Ovis aries: one gene and its partners. The protein of the gene in region 3 purifies or fractionates together with the protein of the main gene of each other region. This does not show direct contact. Links are inferred from orthologs where the notes say so. Each region holds a gene or a part of one and is shown on either strand. Other genes may lie near its edges. The genes, in order: WDR77, COPRS, RIOK1 and EFTUD2.

Region 1 (4,553 bases), on a different chromosome or scaffold from region 3:
CTTCCCGACCCAGGGATTGAACCCAGGTCTCCCTCATTGTAAGCAAGACGCTTTACCGTCTGAGCCACCAGGGAAGTCCAAGAAACCTTACAGGTATGCCATAATTAGTCACTGGGTTCTTATAATGAGCCCAAAACATTACTTAGTGAGGCTAATGTGACACCTAAGACACCCAAAGAAGGCCCAGAAACAGGAGCAATGAGAGTGGGGACCCACCAGAAGTCTTTGCTACCACTGACAGCATGTGTGCCAGAGCTCAGGACACTGACTGTAGACACGATGTCATCGTGCTCATACTTGCAGAACTTGCTGACAATAAGCGTCTCATTCTCATCCAGCTCCCACAATTCAACAGCACCTGTTGAGGGTGGGGAAGACGGTGAAGGAAACAAGCTGGGGTTACACCAAGACAGCACTTCACTTCTAGGATGCTAAGTTCTTGAGAGACAAGGATGACACCTCCACAATGATATGAACAGCACACAGTTTAGTATTATTAAATAGTCCCAGTTATTTGGACATTAATTGTCCCAGCTTTATCCTTCCATGCAATGCCTGCCAACACCTCTATTCTTTTTTTTTTTTAAACATGAAACCCTCCACTGGTTTTTCCACTAAGTCTGACATTCAAAACAAAGAAAGCAGAATGAAGACATGTAAGAAACTGGGAAGAAATGGAAAGAGCATAGACTGGTTTCAGCATCATCTTTAAGATCAATATCATCCTTGATGTTGGGTGGATACAGAGAAAAACAGTTTCATTCATGTCTTAATTTTGTTATGAATTTTGCTAGAAATTTCCACCAATTTGGAATCTTGGGACGGGTATATCCTACCCACACAGTTATTCTCCTTTGGGACCAAAACCTTCAAGCTCCCCCAAGCAAGGAGTATGTTGTTGCTATTGTTCAGTCTCTAAGTCACATCGAATTCCCTGTGACCCCATGGGCTACAGCACACCAGGCTTCCCTCTCCTTCACTAACTCCTTGAGTTTGCTCAAACTCATGTCCATTGATGAGTCAGTGATGCCATCCAACCATCAAATCTTCTGTCGTCCCCTTTTCCTCCTGCCTTCAGTTTTTCCCAGCATCTGGGTCTTGTCCAATGAGTTGGTTCTTTGCATCAGTTGGCCAGTGTACTGGAGCTTCAGCTTCAGCATTAGCCCTTCCAAAGAATATTCAGGGTTGATTTCCTTTTGGATTGACTGGTTTGATCTCTCAAAAGTCTTCTCCAGCACTGCAGTTCCAAAGCATTAACTCTTTGGCACTCAGCCTGCTTTATGGTCCAACCCTCACATCCATACATGACTAGAAAAAAAAGTTGTTTTGTCTATATTGGACCTTTGTGGGCAAAGTGATATCTCTGCTTTTAATACGCTGTCTAGGTTTATTGTAGCTTTTCATTCAAGGAGCAAGCGTCTTTTAATTTCATGGCTGCAGGCACCATCCACAGTGATTTTGGAGCCCAAGAAAATAAAGTCTGCCACTGTTTTCATTGTTTCCCCATCTATTTGCCATGAAGTGACGGGACCAGATGCTATGATCTTCGTTTGCTGAATGTTGAGTTTTAAGCTAGCTTTTTTACTCTCCTCTTTCACCTTCATCAAGAGGCTCTTTAGTTACTCTTCACTTTCTGCCATAAGGGTGTCATCTGCATATCTGAGGTTATTGATCTCTCTCCTGATTCCAGCTTGTGCTTCATCCAGCCTGTTATTTCCCATGATGTACTCTGCATATAAGTTAAATAAGCAGAGTAACAATAAACAGCCTTGACATACTCCTTTCCCAATTTGGAACCTGTCCAGTTCTAATTTTCCACACCCAGTTCTAACCGTCACTTCTTGATCTGTATACAGGTTTATCAGGTAAAATGGTCTGGTATTCCCATCTCTTTAAGAATTTTCCACAGTTTACTGTGATCCACATAGTCAAAGGCATTAGCATAAGTCAATGAAGTAGTAGATGTTTTTCTGAAATTCTCTAGCTTTTTCTATGATCCAGTGGATGTTGACAATTTGATCTCTGGTTCCTCTGTCTTTTCTAAATTCAGCTTGAACGTCTGGAAGTTCTCAGTTCACATACTGTTGAAGCCTAGCTTGGAGGATTTTGAGCATTACCTCGCCAGCATGTGAATTGAGTGCAATCGTGTGAATCTGAACATTCTTTGACATTGCCCTTCTTTGGGATTGGAATGAAAATTGACCTTTTCCAGTCCTGTGGCCACTGCTGAGTTTTCCAAATTTGCTGGCATATTGAGTGCAGCACTTTAACTACATCATCTTTTAGGATTTGAAGCATCTCACCTGGAATCCCTTCACCGAGTATGGGACATTAAAAATTGAGCCCAGCCCGACCTCCATTCCACCTGTACAGCTGAGGAGCAAGTGACCCACCTGAATCAGAAGCCACTAGGATACCTCGGTCCCCTACCCAAGTGAGGTCAGCCACTCCGGCCTCCGTCTGGACTCCAGCAGAGCAGAAACCTTCGTTCGGAGCGGCACAAGGGTCCTTGAAAAGCCAGAGAGAGCCAGCCCAGCAGCGGCCACTCAGGCTGGAAGCCCCAAGCAGAAGCGCCCCATCTAAAGGAGATACAAGATGTCAGCATGAGGAGTGGAGAGGCTCGTTTCCCTGGTAACCGCCCAGCAGCCCGCTAGATGCATCTGGACCCGAGCCCGGGAACGCGGGGCACGGCTGGGGTGAGCTCAGCGAAGCGAAGCAGGGGTCAGGCTGGCAAGCGGGGGAATCGAGGTGCGGGCTGGAAGGTTTATTCCCAGGAAGGGGCACTCCGGGGTGGGATAAGGAAACTCCCCGGCCTAGGACCCAGGCTCACCAGACCGGTACCGCGCAGCCTCCAATTGCCGCTCCATACAAGCGGGAGCATTAGGGGGAAGGTTCCACTCCCGGGCTGCCGGGGGCACTAGGGTCGGCGGTGTTTCCTTCCGCATCTCCACGGTTCCAACTTCAATCTAGACCCAGACTGGATGCCCGCCTGAGATTCAGCTCCAGGAGTCCCCACGTGGTTCCTCTCCGGCCTCCGCCCCTCTAGGCAAGTTACAGCCTCCCTACATCTCGCGAGAGCTGCTTCTAAGAGCCCAGCCGGCTTTCCCGCCTGCACCCTCCCGCAACCGGCTCTCTGCTTCTTATCGCGAGGGGTAAAAAGACGGGAAGTTGACGGAGAGGGCACGAAGTTCTCTTCTCGCGAGACTTGTGAGCGTCCATCTTGCTTCTGTCCCTGACAGTTTCTTCTGTCGGGGTCACTGGGGCGGGAAGATTGCTGTGCGAACGCTACCTGACAATGCTGTCCCGGGTGGTACTTTCTGCCGCCGCCGCAGCAGGTGAGAAGTACACACCCTGGTCCTGGATAGCAGGGTGATTGTAAAACAAGGCGTCTGTGGTTGCTTGGAGCGGGTGGGAGGAAAGGGCGTGAAGAAAAGCGCAGTGAGACTTGGGTCTGAGTGAAGAGTGAGGAGCGCCGCTCAGAAGGTGAGTGTGGGGTCCTGGGGGTAGGAATGGAGGACACATGGCCTTAGTGATTGAGCTCTGTGGGGCCGAGGAAGGGGCAAACCAGATTTCACCGTGACCTTGCTAACCTACGCTTCGTATTTTTGTAGCCCCGTCTCTGAAGAACGCAGCCTTCCTCGGTCCAGGGTAAGTGTAAGGGATGTAATATTTCCTTTGGCCCTTGCTTTATCACCTCATTTCACTTCTGGGTTAATCTGCTTTTAGCTTTAAGCCAATAATTACCTTCATTTTGGTTATATTGGAACGCTTAACGTCTAATTCACGTGTGATTCTGTAACTGCCTGGAACACTATTGTATCATCTAATAGTAGAGGTTAAGAGAAAAAGTAATGTGTGCTAACTAAACTGTTTAGAAACTGGTTTTGGTGTCTCCTGAGCCCCGCCCCTCTCCCTTGTGACCTTCAGCTAGACAGAGCTGCCGCAACCTGTATCGGGATTGCTGCTGCTGCTGCTAAGTCGCTTCAGTCGTGTCCGACTCTATGCGACCCCGTGGACTGCAGCGTACCAGGCTCCTCCGTCCATGGGATTTTCCAGGCAAGAGTACTGGAGTGGGGTGCCATTAGATTGCATATCCAAGGGCAAGTTTTGTTAAATTGAAAAATGAAACGTGTAGTTTTTAATCTGTCTCCCAGATTCCAAATTTTACTGTCAGATCAGAGAAATTATTCAGTGTTTCAGCAAATATTTATCTTGCACCTCCATAACCAAAACTAAAGAAATTATATGGTTAAGTACCTACCTTCACACAGCAGAGGAGGTAGCTATAGAGCAGTTTACAATGAGGACTCCGAAGCTGAGAGTAAACTTGGCTCCTCTGCTTAACAAGCTGTGGGACCTTAATTTCTCCATACGCAAAATAGAGAGAACAGTTTGTTATGGATTATGAGAATTAAGGGACGTTCCTGGGAACTCTAAAAACAGTGCTTGGTACATAACATGTGCTTATTATGTGCTTAATGTTAGAACCTGTTATTAATATTATGTCATAAAACATGTCCGTTTTCATTGTAATTTCTTTTTACTTCCGGACT
Region 2 (4,499 bases), on a different chromosome or scaffold from region 3:
AAGACCTGGTTAGCTCAGGGGGGAGAGTCACTGGGCTCCTGAGTTGTCTCATCCATTTGTGGGAGAGTTGTAGCCTGATTCCAGCCCAAGTTCTAGAAAAACCTGTTTATAGAGAAGAGTAAAATGGGATTAGAGCTACAATTGCATAAAAAGTTTTTAAACTCTTATGCACTATTAGGTAGATGCAGGTCAATTGACTATTCTAACAGGTTTTGACTTCCAACAAACTGGAAAATTCTGAAAGAGATGGGAATACCAGACCACCTGACCTGCCTCTTGAGAAACCTATGTGCAGGTCAGGAAGCAACAGTTGAGAACTGGACATGGAACAACAGACTGGTTCCAAATAGGAAAAGGAGTACGTCAAGGCTGTATATTGTCACCCTGCTTATTTAACTTATATGCAGAGTACATCATGAGAAACACTGGGCTGGAAGAAGCACAAGCTGGAATCAAGATTGCGGGGAGAAATACCAATGACCTCAGATATGCAGATGACACCACCCTTATGGCAGAAAGTGAAGAGGAACTAAAAAGCCTCCTGATGAAAGTGAAAGAGAAGAGTGAAAAAGTTGGCTTAAAGCTCAACATTCAGAAAACGAAGATCATGGCATCTGGTCCCATCACTTCATGGGAAATAGATGGGGAAACAGTGTCAGACTTTATGTTTTGGGGCTCCAAAATCACTGCAGATAGTGATTGCACCCATGAAATTAAAAGACGCTTACTCCTTGGAAGGAAAGTTATGGCCAACCTAGATAGCATATTCAAAAGCAGAGACATTACTTTGCCAACAAAAGTCCATCTAGTCAAGGCTATGGTTTTCCAGTGGTCATGTATGGATGTGAGAGTTGGACTGTGAAGCAGGCTGAGAGCCGAAGAATTGATGCTTTTGAACTGTGGTGTTGGAGAAGGCTCTTGAGAGTCCCTTGGACTGCAAGGAGATCCAACCAGTCCATCCTAAAGGAGATCAGTCCTGGGTGTTCTTTGGAAGGACTGATGCTGAAGCTGAAACTCCAATACTTTGGCCACCTCATGGGAAGAGTTGACTCATTGGAAAAGACTCTGATGCTGGGAGGGATTGGGGGCAGGAGGAGAAGGGGACAACAGAGGATGAGATGGCTGGATGGCATCACCGACTCGATGGAGTTGAGTTTGAGTGAACTCTGGGAGTTGGTGATGGACAGGGAGGCCTGGCGTGCTGCTTTTCATGGGGTTGCAAAGAGTTGGACACGACTGAGCGACTGAACTGAACTGAACGGGTTTTGAAGGAAAGCATGTCAATTGTGATTGGGTAGGGGTAACACTCAGGCGTTCCAGACCCAGCTAGTCCTCTAGCCCTGGGACCTGCATCGCCAGTGGCTACAAAAATTAAGATTCAGGACGGTTGGGTGGACTAGGCTTTCGGAGGCGGGCACTCCCCGCCCCTTACTCCGCCCCGTCCGTTGCCCCGCCCCTGGCTCCCTCTTGACCCCCCGCGCCCCGCCCCCCGGCCGAGAGCACCCCAGGCTGATTGGCCCTCAACGGCGTATCCTCGGGCCGGCAGCCAGGCCGGCGCGTCACGTGGCCGAGCGGCGACCTGGGCGCCGAGCCGCGGGCAGACAGGCATGGACCCTCCGACCGCCGGGGCCCAGGCGCTGGGGGCCGCGGAGCAGCCGCGGGGTCTGCAGCTGCCGAGCGGGCGGGAGGCGCCCCCGATTCCGGGGGTGAGCGCGGCGCGGGGCCTGGGCGCGTCCACCACCTGCGGTCGGCGGCGGGAAGTTGCGGGGGCTCGCGGGGCGTGGGCCATGGAACCGGGGAAGCGCTCCCGGCCCTCCTCGGGCAGCCCGGCCGTTTGGGCGCGCGCCCGAGCTGGAAACAGCCGGGCCGCGGGACTGTGGGGCGGGGCAACCTCGAGGACGTGGGTGGGCGCGCCGGGCTGGGAGAGCTGGCTGTTGGCTCCAGGGCGCCTTTGCGTCCTTGCTAAATGGGAGGTGATGCTGCTGACCGAGAGCTGGGGCTGCTGCTCGGGGGCCTGGGCTGGGGCGAGGTGAGGGCTGCGAGGAGAGCTACTTTCCCTGAAGGATCCGTGTCCCATGGTGGGGATGCTCAGCTAAGCCGGAGCACCGGATGATGGCTCCTGCGCGCTCTCCTTTCACTGAAACCAAAAGGCCGCGTTTGACGCAGGGTTTCTAGAAACTTGTTTTCTTTTGCGCGCCAGACAGCTCCCGGTTTCTGAAAGACTGCTATTACAGTCATGTCCTGCCCTTGTTCAATAATCCCTTTTAGACGGTGAGCTCCTTGAGGGTAGGAACGCTCTATTTAGTGCTGAAAACCCGGTGCGTAGCGTAGTGCCTGGCACTTCACACACGCATATTTATTAACTGGATGGAAGAGGAATGCTTATCTAAGCATCAGAGACATCCTAACCAAAATAAGATAGGAAAAATGTAGTGGTAGGCTTATAAAGAATATTACTTTACCGGGCAGGTAGGATGAGACTGATTTTGGCAGGCCACAGCAGGAAGGTTCCTGCACTTCCTCTCCAAGATGAGAGGATAGTGGTCGTGGCAGAGGCGTGGAGATGAGGATGTGCAGGGCAGATGGTTGGGAGCTTGGAGAGAGAACTGTGCTGCACAAGTTGATGGAGCCTGAAGGGACAATGTGGATGCCATGGCGAATTTTGTACTCTAGCAGTGGAGGCCTGTTGAGGTTTCTGGGCAGAGTGGTGATTTCCAGTGTGAGGCTGTGGCCAGATGGATGAGTGTGGGACCCTGGTGGTCCAGTGGCTAAGACTCTGTGTTCCCAATGCAGGGGACCCTGGTGGGGGCTCTCATATGCTGTAACTAATACCTGGTGCAGCCAAATTAAAAAAAAGAAAACGTGGGTGAGTGGGAAGGCAGTTAAGGAGCTCTTGCAATAGAAGAGGTGAGAAGTCCCACTATTGGTCAGCAGGGGTGACCGGGAATTGTCACCGACTACTGGAGATGGAATTAGCTCATTAAATCCAGGTAGGACTAGGTTGTGAGCTAACGAGCAGGTGCCAAGTACAGTTTAAATATAGGGGCAAAGAAGGTGGGTTTCAGCTCAATAAATGTTATATTCCTGCTGTGTGCTAGGTGTCTTCATCAGTGTTATCTCATTATAAACCTCCTGCTGGGTTAGAACAGTTGTCCCCAATTTCCAGAGACAGAAACCCAGGCATGGTGGCTGAAGTGATGTGTCCCAGGTATACTCTGAGTGAATGGGATTGAAGTCACGCCTTCTCATGCAGGCTGTGAACATTTCTCGCCTCACTTAGAAAGACATCTTCACAGGTGATAGGATTTCAGGAACGAACTCTTTTTTTGTTTTTGGCCGTACTGCCCAGATATGGGATCTTAGTTCCCCGACCAGGGATTGAACCCATGCCCCCTGCATTGGAAGCTTGGAGTCTTAGCCACTGGATTGCCAGGGAAGTCACAGGATTTCAGAACTTTTGCGCGGTGGGAGCAGAGAAACCTAGCGATGGCTATGAAGGAAGACGATTTCCTGTCAACCGCTGATTTCCCTTGAACAGCTAAAGCTCTTTAGTCCTCCTGTGTCAGTCAGGAGATGAAATCTGATAAAAGAGCTATTAGCTAGATAAAAAGTTAAGGTAAAAATGAACATGGAGGTATCCACTGCAGGGAAACAGCAACCGGCCCCAGGGCTGAGGGAACAAAGGGGTGAGATTGGAATGACTAAAATGTGCAAGCTCAGAGGAGAATTTCAGGGAGCTGAAATTCCAGCCTCTGAGGACGGGGTGCTGTCCTGGCTAGTTTGGAGTCTCTGAGCTTGGAGGAGGAGACCAGACCTCTCAAGACAGGGCCTGGTGAGGGACTTCCTTGGTGGCCCAGTGGCTAAGACTCCACGCTTCAATGCAGGCAGCCTGGGTTTGATCCCTGGTCAGGGAACTAGATCCCACATGCCAAAATTAAAGATCTCAAGTGCTGCAGCTTAAGAGGTGGTGCAGCCAAATACATATTGAAAAAAAAAAAAAAAAGATAGGGCCCAGCGAGGAGACTGGCTCTGTATGTGCTGGCAGCCTGTACACTGGATTCAGTAGGCACTCTGTGAAGGCAGGTGATCCTGCCGGCAGGGGTGATGCCCACAGGAATGGGAAGCAGCAAGTCCCAATGTAACAGGGCACAGTAGAAATGTGGGTTGCAGGGTCCCACCCCAGCCTCGCAAAGGAGGGTCTGAAAGGGTGGATATGGGGCTGAAATACTGGCCATTCCCGAGATATCCAAGTCCTGGGTCCTTGTTTCTTCTTCCTGCAGGCTGACCACTCCAATCAGGAGAGAGCGCCTGAGAACGCCACAGATCGGCTAGGCAAGTAGGCGACAGAGGCGGGGGTGGCTCTTGGGAGAGACCAAGGAAGTCTGTACTGTGAAAGCTTATCGTTGCCAGAAAACCTTTCCCTGCATGTCATTTAAACCACCTGAAAATACACACTGCCCGATTTCCTCATGTGAATGAAAAGATTGGTAATGAATGGC
Region 3 (3,896 bases):
CAGAAACAGGACAACTTGGTATTAAGTTTGAATTTACTGGGCGATACATGCTGTACCTGAACCTTTTTGATGTATCTGTATAGAGTCGTCTACTCTCTCTTAAGTAAATACATATGTAAGTCCAGTTAAGAATGTGTAAACAGGCTAAAACATTGTTATTTCTAGTGAAAACATTGACTTGAATACCGTCAAAGAGGAAGGTGATGCTGTATTTGAAGACCTTCAGAGTAACGCCAATGAGAAGATGGGTGAGAGTGAGCCGGAAGAGGAGGAGGACGGGGAGGATGACGATGACGATGACTGGGCCTGGGGCGATGGAGTCGGAAAGCTCACCCGGTGTTTCGCTTCAGGTGGAGGGAGTAACCCTCAGGTATTTTATACACAGTCCTGTATGTCTTTGCGTTGTTTGCTTATGTCCTCTTGAGTTGTTTTCTGTTATGGTAAAAGTCACATAATATAAAGTGTACCGTGTCTTCACCACAGCTAACTGCACAGTTCAGTGTTCAGCGGTGCTGCGCACTCTCACCAGGGTCCGGCTCCCGAATTGTTCACTTTGCTAAACTGAACCTGTGTCCCCATTAGGCGCTAAGTGTCTCTTGTCTGTTCATAAGTGAAAACAAAGCACCTCTACATACTTAATGTGCTTTTCTTTATTTACTAGTTAAGCTGCACTTTTCTCTGTTTTGTTACTATTTGCAGTGAACTGCATATTTGTGTCTTCTCCCAGGCAGTTTTTTTAAGGCTCTTAATCTTATGATGATTTAAATAATTTTTAAATTTACTGATTATGGAATGAATCCACATCATTATCAGCAATATGGAAATGATGAAGAATGAAAGTCTGTGTAGCCTAGGACTGCAGAGCAACATAGCCTGCAGATCTTTTAGTAAATTCCAGAGCCACAAAAAGTCCTTTTAAAAAAGAAGACGTCTCTGAATGTCTAGCATATTTCAAGTGCATTTTTAAAACCCTCTTGGGCAAATGTAATTGATCCTTCCCTTCCCTTAGGGTACTCCCCTAAGTATTGATGCTTTAATAATTAACTATGAACCAAGGGAAGATGGGATGAAATTTAGGCTTGTATGTATATCTAGAGCTTTCATCTCTGGAACTCATTTCTTCTAGGCCAATAGACAGACTCCCAGCTTCAATGCAGCCAAAATGTCTACTCCAGCAGACAAAGTTTTACGGAAATTTGAGAATAAAATTAATCTAGGTGAGTTTTTAAGATACAGTTCCTCTCACTAGGTAATGAGAAAACTCTTCAAAGACAACAAAAAGTGTTATAAAATTTTATTAGATCAATCAATGGATATATTCAGTGTTACAGGGTAAATAATAAAGCTTAAAGGAAATTAAAATTTAGTAATTAAAAACATGACTTCAAGAAAAGACTCTAGCTTACACTTTTTTAGTCCTGTGTTCTCTCCTGTTATGGAAATACAAAGGTACAGATGCTCATTCAGGTTATCATCGGTTCTGTATTAGATTTGTAGTAGGGTTACCTTGTAGTAGAATGGTGGAAACACTTGAATATAGTCAAGTGTTGAATATAATCAACTATTGAATGTACTCACATTTTGTTTGACTTTCGGTGTGGCATTAATCATTTAATGACCCGTCGAATCCAGGGAATCACAGTGTGAATTTGAAGCCTCTTGGGAAACACGGGGTCTTCTTTCTCTCGTAGACAAAGGCTGTTAGGAGCCTGGTATGACAGCTCTCACATCTGATCATCCCTAGCACAGACCTGTAATTGGAAGTGAAACTGACATTTTTAGAATTATAATATTTATGATAGTTGTACAAAATATTAAATGTCTGAAAGAGCAGATAGAATATTTTTTAGGGATTTCTGAATCTAGATTTCTCTGGCTGAGAAATGACACCTGTCATGATGAAAGTGATCATCTTTGTTAGTAAGTGCTTACCCTTAAAAACACAAAACACACTTTTCATTACTAAAATACATAACTCCGTGTAATAAAATATTTAGAAAGTAGAGAAGGGAAAGGGGAAAAGTATCCTGTTTAGAAACTTTGGCTTATATGTTGTTTATGTTGTGGATTTTTTTTTTTTAGACAAGCTAAATGTTACTGATTCTGTAATAAACAAAGTCACTGAAAAGTCTCGACAAAAGGAAGCAGATATGTAAGTAAGATATCAAGTATATACAGTAGAGTAAATAAAACGTGACTGATATGAACTAATTGTAGACAGATAGTAGCACGTCTGTCGTAATTCTTTTACAAAGGATGTTCCTTTTTATACCTAAACCAATTCTTAAGTTTAAGTGAGGATATCCTGTGCGTTTCTAACTTGAAAATATTAGATGAGTTTTCTTAAGAAATCTGTGCTAAAACTATAATCGTGTAAAATTCATGAAAGTGCTCTCAGGGTAACAGTGCTTGTAGATTTCAGTTTAAACTAAAATGTTAGAGTATAAAAAAATGTCCCCTTTTTAGAGCTTATTAAGGATTGGTCCCTTCCATGAAGTATTTTTTTAAAATGGAAAGTGAAAGTTAGTTGCTCAGTTGTGTCCAACTCTTTGCAATCCCACAGACTGGACATGCCCAGCTCCTCTGTCCATGGGATTCTCTGGGCAAGAATACTGAAGTGGGTTGCCATTTCCTCCTCCAGGGGATCTTCCCTACCCAGGGATTAAACCCGGGTCTCCTGCATTGCAGGCAGATTCTTTACCAACTGAGCCACTGGGGTAGCCTTAAAAATGTAAGAGCAGATTTAGAACTAAATAGTTTAACTGAAAACAGTTTCCATTTACATTTCTATTCTCAAAAACAAATGTTTAAGACTTGGCTCACCTCCTGTTGCTAATAGCTCTAAAGCATTAACAACATGTTACAGAAAACACTAAGATCATAAAAATAGCAGTGTTAGAACTGAACTGAAAACTAAAACGCAATTTTCTTCTGGTTTATTATTACACATAAGGGATACCAGCTTTTTGAGAAACAGCCCATCGTATGTCACTAAACTGCCTGTTTGGCTCTTTCATTGGTTTAGGTTAGTCTGTGAATTGAGTCACATAGTATATGAGCCAGAGTAATCAGAGTCTATGTTTTTGTGCAGTAGCTGTGTTGAAATGATAAAAGCTTGTTTCTTTGTAGAAAAGGACTCTGAAGAGAAAGCCTTATAAATTACTTTAATTCTGTACTGAGAAAATCATTAATGGTTTAAGAAATAGTACTTACAGACTTGTTCTCTTTTTCCAGCATAGTTTGTTTTACCCCACTACTCTTATTTAATCCTTCTGAAATATGGATGAAAGTTTTTTTTTCTTACTGCAGATACGCTCCCTTTGCCCTAGGGAACTGAACGGCTTGTTAAAGGCAGTGAAGTTTCACACAATGGTGAAACTACAACGAGGTTATGAAATGCGTTATTAAAGAACTACCTGCTTAGGAATATCATGGAATAATGTACATTTAGAACCTTTTGATTTTGGCTCCTCTGAATTTTGAATGTCACCTTTACTTTTTTGGTTTTGTCTTAGGTATCGCATCAAAGATAAGGCGGACAGAGCAACTGTAGAACAGGTATGGTGTAAATGAATGTGTTGCGCTCTTTAAAGTAGTGCTTCTGTCTTTGAATCATGATTTGCTTTGATCCTCCTTGCTTCATGCTAATGTCACCTAGAATTGCTTTTGTGTAAAATTGCTCCTCCTCATAGTTTTGAGTTTAGAGATCTACATTTTGCTTTATTTCTGAAAGCACTTTAAATAGATAAATTAGAATCATGCCCTGCAGAATGGCCCATGAAGCCACCCAGCAGTGCTTTCATCTTCTTGGGGGAAGCAGAACTGCCTGTAAGACCAGGAATCTTTTCTTTTGTCTCAAACAAGGTCTGCGGAAATTTTGTGAGCCTTCCCAGGAG
Region 4 (4,390 bases), on a different chromosome or scaffold from region 3:
CCAGTTCATCATCATCTTCATCAGAATCAAGCTCTGGTCCGATGTAATTCCCAAACTCATCATACAAGTCAGTATCCATGGTGCTAAAATTCAACAAGAGAAAAGTTAGATGCTGGTGAGGAAACCGAGGCCTCCACCCTAGCCTATGGCTGACCATATCCCTTCACACACTCTCCTCTCCAGTTACATCAACCCACCAACTGCTCCTCTAAAGCCCTGTACTTTTCCCTGCTCTCTGTCCTAATCCTGTGTCTGTTTACATACACTGCGCCCACTTCCTCCCCTCCCCTCCACCAGGGCTTGAACCCATGCCCCCTGCAGTAGAAGCATGGAGTCCTACCACTGGACTGCCAGGGAAGTCCCAGCCCACTTGTTTGTTTGTTTTTTTAATACTAAAAGAATTTTAATTTTAAAATAATTAAATACAGGAAGTTGCAAAAACAGTGCACATCACTTTTTCCTAAGTTATTTGAGAATAAGTTGCTGACACAATGTCTCATCACCTCCTCAGACTTTAGTGCAGAAGTTGGTAAACTATAGCCTGTGGCCAAATCTGGCTGTTCTCATAACGGCCTGGAAGGTATGATTTTTAAAATATTTTTAAACAGTTGGAAAAAAAAGTCAAAGGACGAGTGTTTCATGATACATGACAATTAGTTCTATGAAATTCAAATTTCAGTGTCTATGAAAACAGCTTTACTAGAACACAGCCATGCCCCTTTCTTTATACCGTCTGTGACTGCTTTCAGCCTGTAACAGCTGAGTAGCTGCCTCTGAGACTATATGGCCACAGAGCCTAAAATACTTACTATCTGGCCCTTAATAGACAAAGTTTGCCAACCCCTGTTCTTAGCGCACATGATTCCTACAAACAAGGACATTCTTCTGCATAACCACAATACAACCATCAAAATCAGAAAATACTGACACATCACTACACCTAATCCACAGGCCCCCATACAAGTTTCAGAAATTGTTCCACTAATGTCCTGCACAGCAGAGGATTCCATGTTTGCACCTGGCTATCATGTCTTCAGTCTCTTTCAATCTGGAACAATCCTTGGCCTTTCCTTGATTTCTGTGACTTGACGCTTTTGAAGATTACAGGCTAGTGAGTTTGTAGAATGTTCCTGAATTTAAGTTTGTCTGATGTTTCCTCATGATTAGAGTCAAGTTATGCTTTTTTTTTTTGGTAAGACTATCACAGTAGTGAGGCTGTGCTCTTTTCGGTGCAACTCCTAACAAGTGGCATATGATTTTAATTTCTCCCATCAGTGGTGATGTTAACGTAACCACTTGATTGTGGTGGTGTCTACCAGGCTTTTCCACTGTATAAAGTTACTTGTTTTCTCTCCGCAGTTCATAAATATTTCGTGGGCTGTCTCCACTTCAAGTATTGAAATTCTATTCAAAATAACTGTTCAAAGACCATTTCCTTCAAGTCTTCCTTGAGCCTCAATTTCTCACTCACCTATGATGCCACAGCCTTTTGTGTCTTTATCAGCATTTACTTCTGTCATCAACGGTAGTTAACTGCATTAACTACCCTCAACAACAACTCTACAGCTTACAAGTAATAGACAACAGACCAGAGCATGGGTTACTGGTCAGGGCTCTGGAACTGGCAGACCTAGATTTGAATCCAAACTTTGTCACTTAATAACTATGTCACTTTCAGTAAGCCCTTCACCTCTCCAAGCCTGTTTCTTCAATTGGAAAATAAAGTGATTAATTTTCACCACATAAAGCATTATGAGAATTAAAAAAAATAGGCTGTGTAAAGAATTCATCATGATTCCAGGATCAATCAATGTTAACTGGCATTATTTTTTAGCCATTCTTTTGTCTGTTTTATTTGTATTTTTTAGTTAAAAAACTTTTTTGGCCATTCTTGAATACAGGAACCCTGTGCTCCTTGTGCCCATGTGCCAATGCCCAAGACACCACTTCACATGAGTAGGCACTAGATAAATGTTAACTGACCAGAAGGTTCAATTTTGAGATACTGGTATTTCTTCCACAACGGTAATCCCTCCACCTCCTTCAGTGCCCCTTGTGGAGTGCTGACTGTGGATAAAATAGAGAATTAAGAGCTCCACTACTAATAAGTAAATGTGATTTATCACAGAAACTTTCATATGCATATTCTTTTTATTTCCAAAGAGCTATCATCTCTGTGCACATTTCATTCTCCCAAGACACCCATGAAATGACTGCAGAAATTTCTATACAAGGCTGTTCATGAAATAATCCAAGTCATTTCTGCTTCAGGGCCACTGCACTTACTCTTCTCTTCCAAAATGCTCTTCCCTTGGGCATATATACCTTGTTCCTTCATCTCACTCAGGTCTCTACTAAAACAGCACCTTCTCTGAGAAACCTTCCCTTGTCACTCTAAAAAACTCCCCCCCCCCACACACACATTCTCCAACCCCTATTTTCAATGTTTTATTATTTTTATTAACATTTATCATTAGCTGACAAGTATCTTCGTGTATTTACCGTCACCTCTCCAACTACAGTTTAAGCAAGGACTGTTTTTGTTTTCACTTAAAAGGGTGCCTGCCACAAAACAGAACCACTTACTGAATGACGAAATGTATGGCCCCAACAAGGCACAGAGAAGACAGCTGACCTGCCCACAGTTGCACAAAACTAGTGAATTTCGGTACCAAACTTCACTGCAGCTTCCCGCTACAATGCAGGCTCTCAAAGGAACATAGAGTAACGACGGAGGGAGCTTGATAGAGAAGTGAAGGCGGCACAGTTGGAAGAGAGAGTAAGATAGGGGAATAGACACTGCAAGAACGACCCCTGCCCAGGGAAAGGGTTTTATAGACGGACGACACGCAGGGAACCCAGGAATCGGTTGGGGGGTGGGGGGGCTTTCATTCTCTATCCTACTCCACGCCTCAATTTACCCATCTGTAAAGTGAAAGTGGCATATAACACATAGCATCTCTTCCAAATCTGACTAATTTCCCATTCCACCAGAGCAAGCCTCCCCTGACGCTGACCAGCGCCACTCACCTCCCGCTGCTCAGCCAAAAACTCCCAGTCGGCCGCTGGAGATCGTGCTTCCGCCCCACGCCGCCTCACCGCCTGCGCCCGCCGTTCGGAAGGACCCCACAGGCGCCGCGGTTGCGTTTCTTCCCGGGAGGGCAGCCCTCTGCCTGTGGACCAGCTCGGAGGAATCCCGGCTGCGGACACCGGAACCTGAGAAGAGGAACTGTGGGTCCCCAAACCACGGCGTGGGCTGCTCCAGAGAAAGCGAGGCCTGAGGAGGCGTGAATCTGATCAGGCGCCTCGGGGCCACCCTGACTGGGGGCCTTCGGGGCGATCACGTGGGAGGCTGTTGTAGCAGTTGCTGGGCAACCACAGCTGCTGGGCGTGGTCTACGCTGAGCTGACTTCGTCGGGCAGTGTCTGGGCATCCCCAAAGAAAGAAAGGAAACCGAGGCCCCGGCTGCTGGGGTGAAGGTCAGGGGGCAGGAGGATTAGATGTTCTAGATTTTCAGTGACTGGGAAAGGCTTAGAACTAGGCAGGAGTCAGGACACCTGAGTTCAGTTCCTGGCCAGCCCACCCTACTTCTTGGTCTTTCGCTTACCCATGTTAGGGTGGAGGGTTGGTTTTAGGCCTCCTGCTTCCGTGTTGGGGCTTGCCTGGTGGCTCAGACGGTAAAGAATCTGCCTGCAGTGCTGGAGACCTGGGCCAGGAAGATGCCCTGGAGGAGGAAATGGCAACCCACTCCAGTATTTTTGCCTGGGAGATCCCAGGGACTGAGGAGCTTGGTGGGGATGACTTCGCCAAGTGATCTTTAGCAAATAGCTCGGAGCAGTAGTAGTAAGGTTCAGAAAGGTCTCACAGCAGTAAATGCGGATCCAAGATTAAAACTCGTATAGGTGATCTCTATAGAACGAATCAGTCAGCCTCAGACACCCGGAAGTTGCAGAAGTACAGAGACAGAACTAAAGAGGTTGCCCAAGTACCTAGAGATTTATGCTCCAGCCTTGGGCTGGACAGAGGGGTTTGAGAACGGGGATCATTAAGCCCCTTCCTCTGTCGCGTCCACTTGATTTCCTGCTCAGTCATTGCATCTGGTTTCGGGTGGAAAGTATCTTTTCTCCTTATAAGACATTTAAGTATGGGTGCTTCCCTGGTGGCTCAGATCATAAAGAATCTGCCTGCAGTGTGGGAGACCCGGGTTGGATCCCTGGATCGGGAATATAACACTGGAGAAGGGAATGGCAACCCACTCCAGTATTCTTGCCTGGAGAATTTCATGGACAGAGCCGCCTTCTGTTCAGTTCAGTGCAGTCGCTCAGTCGTGTCCAACTCTTTGCGACCCCACGAAGCGCAGCACATCAGGCCTCCCTGTCCATCACCAACT

Evidence for each region.
Region 1: the proteins of RIOK1 (region 3) and WDR77 purify together in Homo sapiens (affinity purification with mass spectrometry; 5 studies listed by BioGRID and IntAct, with this or other methods). This does not show direct contact. The link is inferred for Ovis aries from reciprocal best matches to the Homo sapiens genes RIOK1 and WDR77.
Region 2: the proteins of RIOK1 (region 3) and COPRS purify together in Homo sapiens (affinity purification with mass spectrometry; 3 studies listed by BioGRID and IntAct, with this or other methods). This does not show direct contact. The link is inferred for Ovis aries from reciprocal best matches to the Homo sapiens genes RIOK1 and COPRS.
Region 4: the proteins of RIOK1 (region 3) and EFTUD2 purify together in Homo sapiens (affinity purification with mass spectrometry; 3 studies listed by BioGRID). This does not show direct contact. The link is inferred for Ovis aries from reciprocal best matches to the Homo sapiens genes RIOK1 and EFTUD2.

What each region holds. Positions count from the first base shown.
Region 1 is NC_056054.1:88,869,357-88,873,909, forward strand, and holds the start of WDR77 (methylosome protein WDR77), read right to left. Parts: upstream 3,027-4,553; 5' UTR 2,946-3,026; coding exon 2,831-2,945; intron 2,580-2,830; coding exon 2,394-2,579; intron 359-2,393; coding exon 217-358; intron 1-216. Other genes in the region: ATP5PB (ATP synthase F(0) complex subunit B1, mitochondrial), read left to right, coding at 3,296-3,335, 3,612-3,648. UniProt on the Homo sapiens protein: Non-catalytic component of the methylosome complex, composed of PRMT5, WDR77 and CLNS1A, which modifies specific arginines to dimethylarginines in several spliceosomal Sm proteins and histones.
Region 2 is NC_056064.1:18,000,615-18,005,113, forward strand, and holds the start of COPRS (coordinator of PRMT5 and differentiation stimulator), read left to right. Parts: upstream 1-1,569; 5' UTR 1,570-1,607; coding exon 1,608-1,706; intron 1,707-4,280; coding exon 4,281-4,332; intron 4,333-4,499. UniProt on the Homo sapiens protein: Histone-binding protein required for histone H4 methyltransferase activity of PRMT5.
Region 3 is NC_056073.1:47,116,098-47,119,993, reverse strand, and holds part of RIOK1 (serine/threonine-protein kinase RIO1), read left to right. Parts: intron 1-165; coding exon 166-370; intron 371-1,126; coding exon 1,127-1,217; intron 1,218-2,082; coding exon 2,083-2,152; intron 2,153-3,515; coding exon 3,516-3,558; intron 3,559-3,896. UniProt on the Homo sapiens protein: Involved in the final steps of cytoplasmic maturation of the 40S ribosomal subunit. Involved in processing of 18S-E pre-rRNA to the mature 18S rRNA. Required for the recycling of NOB1 and PNO1 from the late 40S precursor.
Region 4 is NC_056064.1:44,341,385-44,345,774, forward strand, and holds the start of EFTUD2 (116 kDa U5 small nuclear ribonucleoprotein component), read right to left. Parts: upstream 3,083-4,390; 5' UTR 3,031-3,082; exon of another isoform or gene 1,984-3,030; intron 84-1,983; 5' UTR 80-83; coding exon 1-79. UniProt on the Homo sapiens protein: Required for pre-mRNA splicing as component of the spliceosome, including pre-catalytic, catalytic and post-catalytic spliceosomal complexes. Component of the U5 snRNP and the U4/U6-U5 tri-snRNP complex, a building block of the spliceosome.